Linked DNA regions of Coturnix japonica. The protein of the gene in region 1 interacts with the protein of each later gene in a biochemical or structural test. Links are inferred from orthologs where the notes say so. Each region holds a gene or a part of one and is shown on either strand. Other genes may lie near its edges. The genes, in order: KPNA1 and PKM.

Evidence for each region.
Region 2: the proteins of KPNA1 (region 1) and PKM form a complex in vitro, tested with the Homo sapiens proteins (2 studies listed by BioGRID). The link is inferred for Coturnix japonica from reciprocal best matches to the Homo sapiens genes KPNA1 and PKM.

Annotation. Positions count from the first base shown.
Region 1 is NC_029516.1:69,210,863-69,214,678, forward strand, and holds part of KPNA1 (importin subunit alpha-5), read right to left. Parts: intron 3,498-3,816; coding exon 3,403-3,497; intron 1,867-3,402; coding exon 1,735-1,866; intron 1-1,734. UniProt on the Homo sapiens protein: Functions in nuclear protein import as an adapter protein for nuclear receptor KPNB1. Binds specifically and directly to substrates containing either a simple or bipartite NLS motif.
Region 2 is NC_029525.1:978,268-982,083, forward strand, and holds part of PKM (pyruvate kinase PKM), read right to left. Parts: intron 3,603-3,816; 5' UTR 3,584-3,602; coding exon 3,543-3,583; intron 3,331-3,542; coding exon 3,161-3,330; intron 2,795-3,160; coding exon 2,703-2,794; intron 271-2,702; coding exon 139-270; intron 1-138. UniProt on the Homo sapiens protein: Catalyzes the final rate-limiting step of glycolysis by mediating the transfer of a phosphoryl group from phosphoenolpyruvate (PEP) to ADP, generating ATP.

The DNA.
Region 1 (3,816 bases):
CCTCCTCCAAAAAAAGATCTCTAAAAAACAGTTTGGACATCACATATCACATAGCTGAGTCTGGATAGATTTTTACATGGGCAGAACATGGCATCTCTGCTATTTTGGCAAGATCAACACCACATTTCTAATTTCTTCAAAAATAGACTCATTTCCTCAAATTAAAAGAACTACAAAAATACTTGTATCCTCGAAAACAATTTTCTAAGGCACCCAAACTCTCTTAAAAAACCTTGGTAAAAATTATTCAGCATGAGAGAAGCCACTGAAAATGGAAAGTTGCAAAGTGGAAAGCTACAAGGAACTTGAAGAAATGTGTCTTTCTTGCAGAAAAAGTTACACAGTCTTAAGTACGAGTGGCTCATTCCGTGCCAGCTATAAGATAGAAAGGCAAGTTACATAAAGCAATTCAGTGCTTATCAGTTGGACTCCTCCAATCATGCATCTCAATACAGCCAAATGCAAGGTCAGACATCTAGGAGAGAGAATAGAGGGCACACTTACAGGATGGAGAACTGAGCCCTGGAAGTCAGTGACTCTGAAAAGAACAACGAATCATATTGGATAATCAGCTTAACTTGAGCTCACAGCAAACTTGTGTGGAAAAGAGTCCTCAAAGACATCTTGAATATTCACGCAAGGAAGAACCAAGTAGAAATGAGCTTTGGGTACTACCTCTGCAAACAGCACTGCTGGAACAGTACTACTTGGAATACTCAGAGCTTGTTATTTCACCACCATATGAAACAAAGAAGCGTTCAGAAAAGGATCGTCAAGAAAATTTTAAAAGCTAAAGAAATATCCATAGTAAGAATTCAAAGTTTAATCTCATTTGCTCAAGAAAAGATTAAGCTATCATCTGTAATTAAATATAAGAAAAAGCAGAGAGCTTACTGAGTAGACAGTGAAACAAAAGCTAATAAGCAGGCCCAAAGCTAATCAAATTTGTATAGTAGAGGTACACACGTTCAAGTTAGGGTTACGCATTACTCAAGATGTGTTCATTAGCACGATTGGTATTTCACCATCCTAAGTCTTCAAATCAAGACTAGACATCTTTTTAAAATACAACCTTGTTCAAACACAAGTTACTGCCCTCGAGCAGAAATTACTGAGTCTGTATGAATCTAATGTTTGGTCTGCACTTTATACGGACCTCTCTGTGCCTTGAAGAATATTAATCTGCTCTGTAAGAAAGGCATTCAAGTAGAACTTATGGACAATGACTGCATTCATTCTTTTATTTCATCATTAATAAAAACCAGCTTAGTAAGCAACATTACTTCACTATCCTTTTCATTCAACATCCAACAGACCTATAGCATGCTTGATTGCTCTTTTGCCTCCTTTTCCTTAATTTTTAGAGAACAACCTATAATTTCCATTCGTGTTTTACCTTCAGGAGAAATAAACGTGAACTTTCCACCTCTGAAGTATTTTTTTAAACAACGTTTCTTGAATTCCTCAGCAAGCAGAAAAGTGTTAACTCACTAGAGATCAAAACGCTACCACATTGGCTGTGGTTAAACGAATCATTTCCAGAACAACTGAAAAACAATATTTGCGCCTTAACACATACTAGGGAGGAAAAACATTATGTTGAACTGCCTGACACTACACTGCCTCTAAAGGCACAAGACTTTCTTAAAGAAGAGTCTTGTACTTTCATGTTTTTTAAAAAAAAAAAGAACAAAAAAACAAAAAACAAAAAACAAACACCATTCTTAATATTACCTGCTCCTGTACATCTTCAAACTCTGAACTAAGCAGCTCTATGAAGATGGGAACAGCTCCTGCTTGGATCACTATTCGAGTCTGAAGGGAATTCCCCGAGGCAATATTTGTCAGCACCCAGGCAGCTTCAAACTGGAAAACAAAATATAGAAGAAAATTCGTTGGGAGCCTTTTGTGTCAGATCAAAAACAGTGATGATATGTCCTAAAAACAGGAAGAATTGGTGAAGATAAAGCATGACTGCTAATTACAACAGAAGCTGAAAAGTAAGAGTCAGAGTTAAAAATTATGATTACGTGAACTCAAAATTTGCAAAAATTCCATACAGCCACAAGATCAGTTTTTTTAGTTTCTTTTTTAAATCATACAATTACGATCATACAATTACAATGGTAAAGAAAAAGAAAGTAAAAGGCTCATCTTAGTATTTGTTTGATACATTCTTGAAGATTTTTCTCATCATCACATGAGAAAAAATTAGTTATTCTTGTACAGTTTAAATGATCACAGGGAAGAGTGCAACTTTTTTAAACCTGAAAATCACTTAAGAAAAAAAATGTATATAGGGGAATTCCAGACAAATATAGCCTTCCTACCACTGCTACTAGAAATTCATTTTTCACTGGATATTCCACTAACAACACAGTAGAAACCTACAGAATAAAGACACACAGTTTCACGTTTACCAACATAGAATAGTTTCCACATTCAATCCATCATACAAGTAATACCTGGGCAAAAAAATACTTCAGTATTTCCTAAATGAGTTGAAGGTGTTCAGAATGAGTTCAGAACCAACAAACTGTCTAAATCTGATACATGCTCTTAGTTACTGTGCATGTACTTCTCAAAAGGAGCTATCAGATCTTTGCAATTCTACTGTCCTCAGTTTGGAAAGTAATTTCAATAAACTCTCTTTTCTCTATTTCGTAAGACAAGGAAAAAGTCCTTTTCGCATATTTCCAGGCACTAAATTTTTGATTTCACAAGCCAATAACAAATGAAGAAACACCAATTTAGCCTATGTATCACATTTAGCCATTAATTATTAACATTTTCTTTTATTATGAGATCAATTTCCTTCCACTTTATACTAGCCTAGAAGAAAGACTGACACAGTTCTAAGGATTAAGTCCAAGACACATTGACTAAAACTGTAGCAGATACAACTTAGTTTTTCCAACCAAAACAAGCAAGCTTCAGGGCTTCTCTTTTTTTGTTGTTGTTTTTGTTTTTTATGTTCAACTCTAATTCTGAACTACTCAGAATTTAATCAAAACTTTATGTCATAATTCTGAACACTGAAAACAGTCTTCAGTTAGTATAAAAGTAGACAAACAGTACAGTTTAGTTTAATAGCTTTTTTTCATCATTTAAGGCCATCTTTCAAACTGTTTTTGTTATACAAGGAAGTCCAGGTAAACATCCCATGTTAGACACCACCCAATAAAACCCATATTCTCTCATTCTCTCACAGCCATATTAAAGGCCCAGCAACTGAGTTTATTATTAAGAACCCTTCACAGTAAAATAGGTGTGTTATTCTTATAAAGAAAAGTACAGCTCACAAAAAAAAAAAGTGATGACATTTGATGACATTTTCTGCCTTATTTGCACCACCAAAAGCCTTCATAATACAGAAAGAGATATATACTTATATTTTTATACCTGTAATGTACAGTTTTCTTTCCGCTTGAGGAACTCCACAAATCTTGCCACCACGCCTGGTGTGCTTATGACTTCATCTATTGGGGGATTTGGTTCTATTTAAAACAAAATGGAAAGTTAAGAAGCATTCGTTTATTTGTTGGGGGAAAATTCCTAAAACCACTGCACCAAAGTAATACCCAATGACATGCTGATTTTTCTGAGTCTTATTTTCTGTTATACTGCTTTATCTATCTTTTCTACTAAAAGGCAATGAATTCATCAAAGGAAGACTCCAATTTACATTGTGAAGTACTACTATAACATGATTTAACAGTAACACACCCATTAACCTAAGCATAAAAACTTGACAGCAACAGATCTGCAAAGTCACTTCGGTGCACATATGCACACAGTTCAACTTCCAGAATTAAT
Region 2 (3,816 bases), on another chromosome or scaffold:
TAGTACAAATGCCAAACACTGCACACAATTATTTTGTTCTTGTAAGATAATCCTTGTCTAGAAAAAGCAGGCCATGGGAACAATGGTATCTAGTATGAGGCACTGGAAAAGGTGGGGGTAAATAAAAGAGTAACTTACTCCCTTGATGAGTCCAGTTCGGATTTCAGGTCCCTTGGTGTCCAGTGCAATAGCCACAGGTCTGTAGGTGATGGGGTCAGAGGCAAAGCTCTCTGTAGCCTCTCGCACATTCTTAATTGTGCCCTCATGATACTGGAAAGGAAAAGAAAGGGAAACTTTCGCTGACTTCTACTCCAATGCTCATGCTACATAACCCAAATACTACTCAAAGCATGATATAACATTCGCTGGAGGACTGACACACCAAGAAAACATCACAGCTAAGTGACAGTTGTACGTAGCTGCTGTCCTCTTCCCCTCAGAGTGTGAAAGTGAAGGTGCCCCACTGCCTTTTGACCCCCACTATCAGTCCCACAGACACAACTGAACCAAGGACTCTGCTGTCTGGCATATGGGTGGACACTCACAACTCTGGCTGAAATCTCCGCTGCAACAAGGGATTAACTCAGAGGATATTAACCCTTTATATATTTGCATCTTATTTTGAGAGCTAAAGCAACCACAGCCAGGAGTTCAAAGCTCTGTCACTGAACACCACGCTCCAAAACCCTTCCACGTGCACAAGAGCATTTTGTTAGTACTGCCAATGTCAGAACAGTTTCACAGGGAAATTCCCATCCCAATCATCTCAAACAAGCTTCAGACGATCATCAAGTCAGGTTGCTATCTAGTTTAAACAACACTAGAGATAAGCCTGACAGAGTTATGCAATACTTGGCAGACTCCGGAAGATAAGAAATGCCCTTTCCCCTCCCCATGGCATGGGCTGACAGCATGCAGCCTGAATCACCTGGCTGCCCTCACATCACCTGCCTTGGGATCAGGAAGATGCAGCTGCAGCAAGCTGTGCTCAGGTTGGTGTGCACACCCTCAGCCACAAACACACTGCAGTTAACTCTTAAGAGCACAAAAAATTAAGTTTGCTATTAAAAGCACAAGTGGAGTCTGAGGAGGAACCTGGTCCTTCCACACACCACAGCTGTGACTGAGAGGAAACATGTCTGAGCAGAGTCTGGGGCTTGTCTGCTCTCAGTCACCTGGGACATTTTATTACTTGATACAGATCAATGACCAGCTCCTAGGGACTCTGACTTCCTTGAGAATTACACTCAACAGGAATGCTGACAAGGGCTGAAGTAAAAGCAGACTTCCTCCATGAGAGAGCTTCAAGGTCTAGCATCTGGTTAGTTGCTAACTCAAGCCCTGCTAGGTGTTTTAGAATAAACACTGGAACTGAAACGTGCACAGCACGTGAAAACCTCAGGCAACTGTAGTGGACAACAGAGTGCTTGAGGATCCAGAAAAGAACTCAGATTTGCCTGGTTAGAGCTGACAGATAAACTGGGCAGGAGATTGCAGCAAGACCAACCACTGTCACCTAACCTCCATCTAAACCAAACATGCAATTGGGCTGCACTTCTCCCCAGGCTAAGCCACATACCCTGTTCCTTCACCTCAGCTAACAAGCACACCAACCACAGCACTGTGCTATGACAGCTAAGAAGGCTCAGGCTTGACCACCAACTCCTTGCTGAGCCTCCCGACTGGTAGCAGCACATGACCTGAGGGGTGAAGTCAGCCCATACAGCCCTTTACATTGAATTTTGGTTAGCTACAGCGTGCACACTGCTGCTACTACAGGCTAATACAGCTATGGTCCAACGGCTGCGCACAGCTAAACACCAGACCTTTTGGTTTCTGCAGTGCCCTGTGGCCTTTAAAGGCCGTGAGGGCGAGAGGTCAAGCTGTTACACACCTCAGGGCTCACAGTTCACTAATTAAAGCCACAGACAACTGTCATTTGGTTACAGTTTGACATTTTAAAGGCTGGAGGGCAGCCAGCATAAGAACTCTTCTCAATGCTGAGGGTGGCATTCTGGGCAACCCGGAACAGGATCATCTGCTCCTGTAGCGTTGCTGAGGATTTCATCTATTTATATCAAAAAGGGCTCGTCCACCAGAAGCAGTGTTGATTTCTTCTGACCTTACTCTTAGAAGTTTATTGCCCCTCATAAGCGAGGAACTGCTTTCCTCATGACTACCAGGAACATAACCTGAGCAGCTGGCTAGCCAGGCAAATCCAGAAGCTCAATTCTTTCAAATGCACACACTAATTACTACAAATATCTTTTGAGACAAGGTTATTCACTGACTGTTTCTAAAACCTCCAGCAGTGAAGCAGGGTGACAACTGATAGTTGTGTACTGCTGCAGAGGTGCACAAGTAACTCAGAAGCAGCAGCCTTGTAAAGCAAATGTGAGTTCACTTCCCCATGAGGGTGGGGAAGAAGTGAAGGAACTCGCACATCAGCTATCTGGCTCCCAGGTAGAGGTAGGTGCACAGAAGGGTGTGGAAACAACTGCTTCCAGAAAGCACTGAAATGTTATCAGCACTCTTGGTATTTACAGCTGGCACACTTCCCACAAGCATAAAGTTTTGTCTTCCTACACTACCACAGCTGCTCTGGAGTAAGCTGGATTTCCCTTGGTCTCCTCTTGCAGGAAGGAAGGAAGGGATCAGCAGTCACAAGTTCAGGGCAGTGTCAGCCCCATCCCCACCCTTACCTCGTGGGTGCCATGCGAGAAGTTGAGGCGGGCAACGTTCATTCCAGATTTAATCATTTCCTTCAGCTTATCCACAGAGCGGGAGGCTGGGCCTGAAAGGAGGAAACAGTTTGAATATTAACTTAATAATATGATAATGAGACAACCCACAAACATCAGGCTGTTTCACGTGGAGGCATAAGTGAAGCACAGTGGATACAGACTGCTCAACATGAAAGCAGCTCCTTTGTCTTAACTTGACTCTAGGAGCTCGTTTGAACCCAACCAGTTCAGACATCACTGAATTTAATCCAAGCAATAAAACTGGGCAGGCAGGCATGGGAAAGTCAAGTCTCAACAGACAGGCACAGCCCTCGCAACGGATAAAGGCTGAAGCCATCCCACATTCCCACAACGAGTTTCACCAACACAAGCAAACACAGCTTGAGCTTACAATGTGGGATCTGGGAGCCACGTACCGATGGTGCAGATGATGCCGGTGTTTCTGGCAATGGTTGGCTCGGAGTCGATGTCCAGGCGGCACATGTGCTCCAGAAAGGTGTCTGCCATGGCAGCGTGCAGCTGCTGGGTCTGGATGAAAGCGGTCCCTGCATCGTGGTGCTTTGACATGGTTACTGATGTTCGGTGTCTGCGAGAGAAGAAAATGGTGCCGGGTTTAAGGGTCGCCCCTGCTCGTTCACCATGCAGAGACACCAACACACCCACGTGATGAATATGGAGGTAACAAGAAAGCTGCTACTGGGTCAGACTATCGTTATGTTCCTACTTGAGAGTCTTAGGTACAGGCAAGACACACTTCTATTTAAATGTCATTCCCCATGGATGCCACCCAAAGCTCACCTGCCTTCTATGCAGAAGTTCCCTTCATAGCTTCTCTTCATTGCCAGTCTTCCCCTGCAGCTACACAACGCAACAAAATTCAAGCGCTTCAGTGCACAGGCAGCGTGCTGCCCGCTCCCTGCCCGCTCTCAGCCCATCTCTGCCAGCAGCCCAGGGATCAAGGCAGCTGGTGTGACTGCAGTTGTGCTGCACACGGGGACACACCTCAGCACACCAAGTGCACCTAGGCTTAACCCAGCCTTTAAGCCCGCACAGATAATCAGACTTGAGTTGA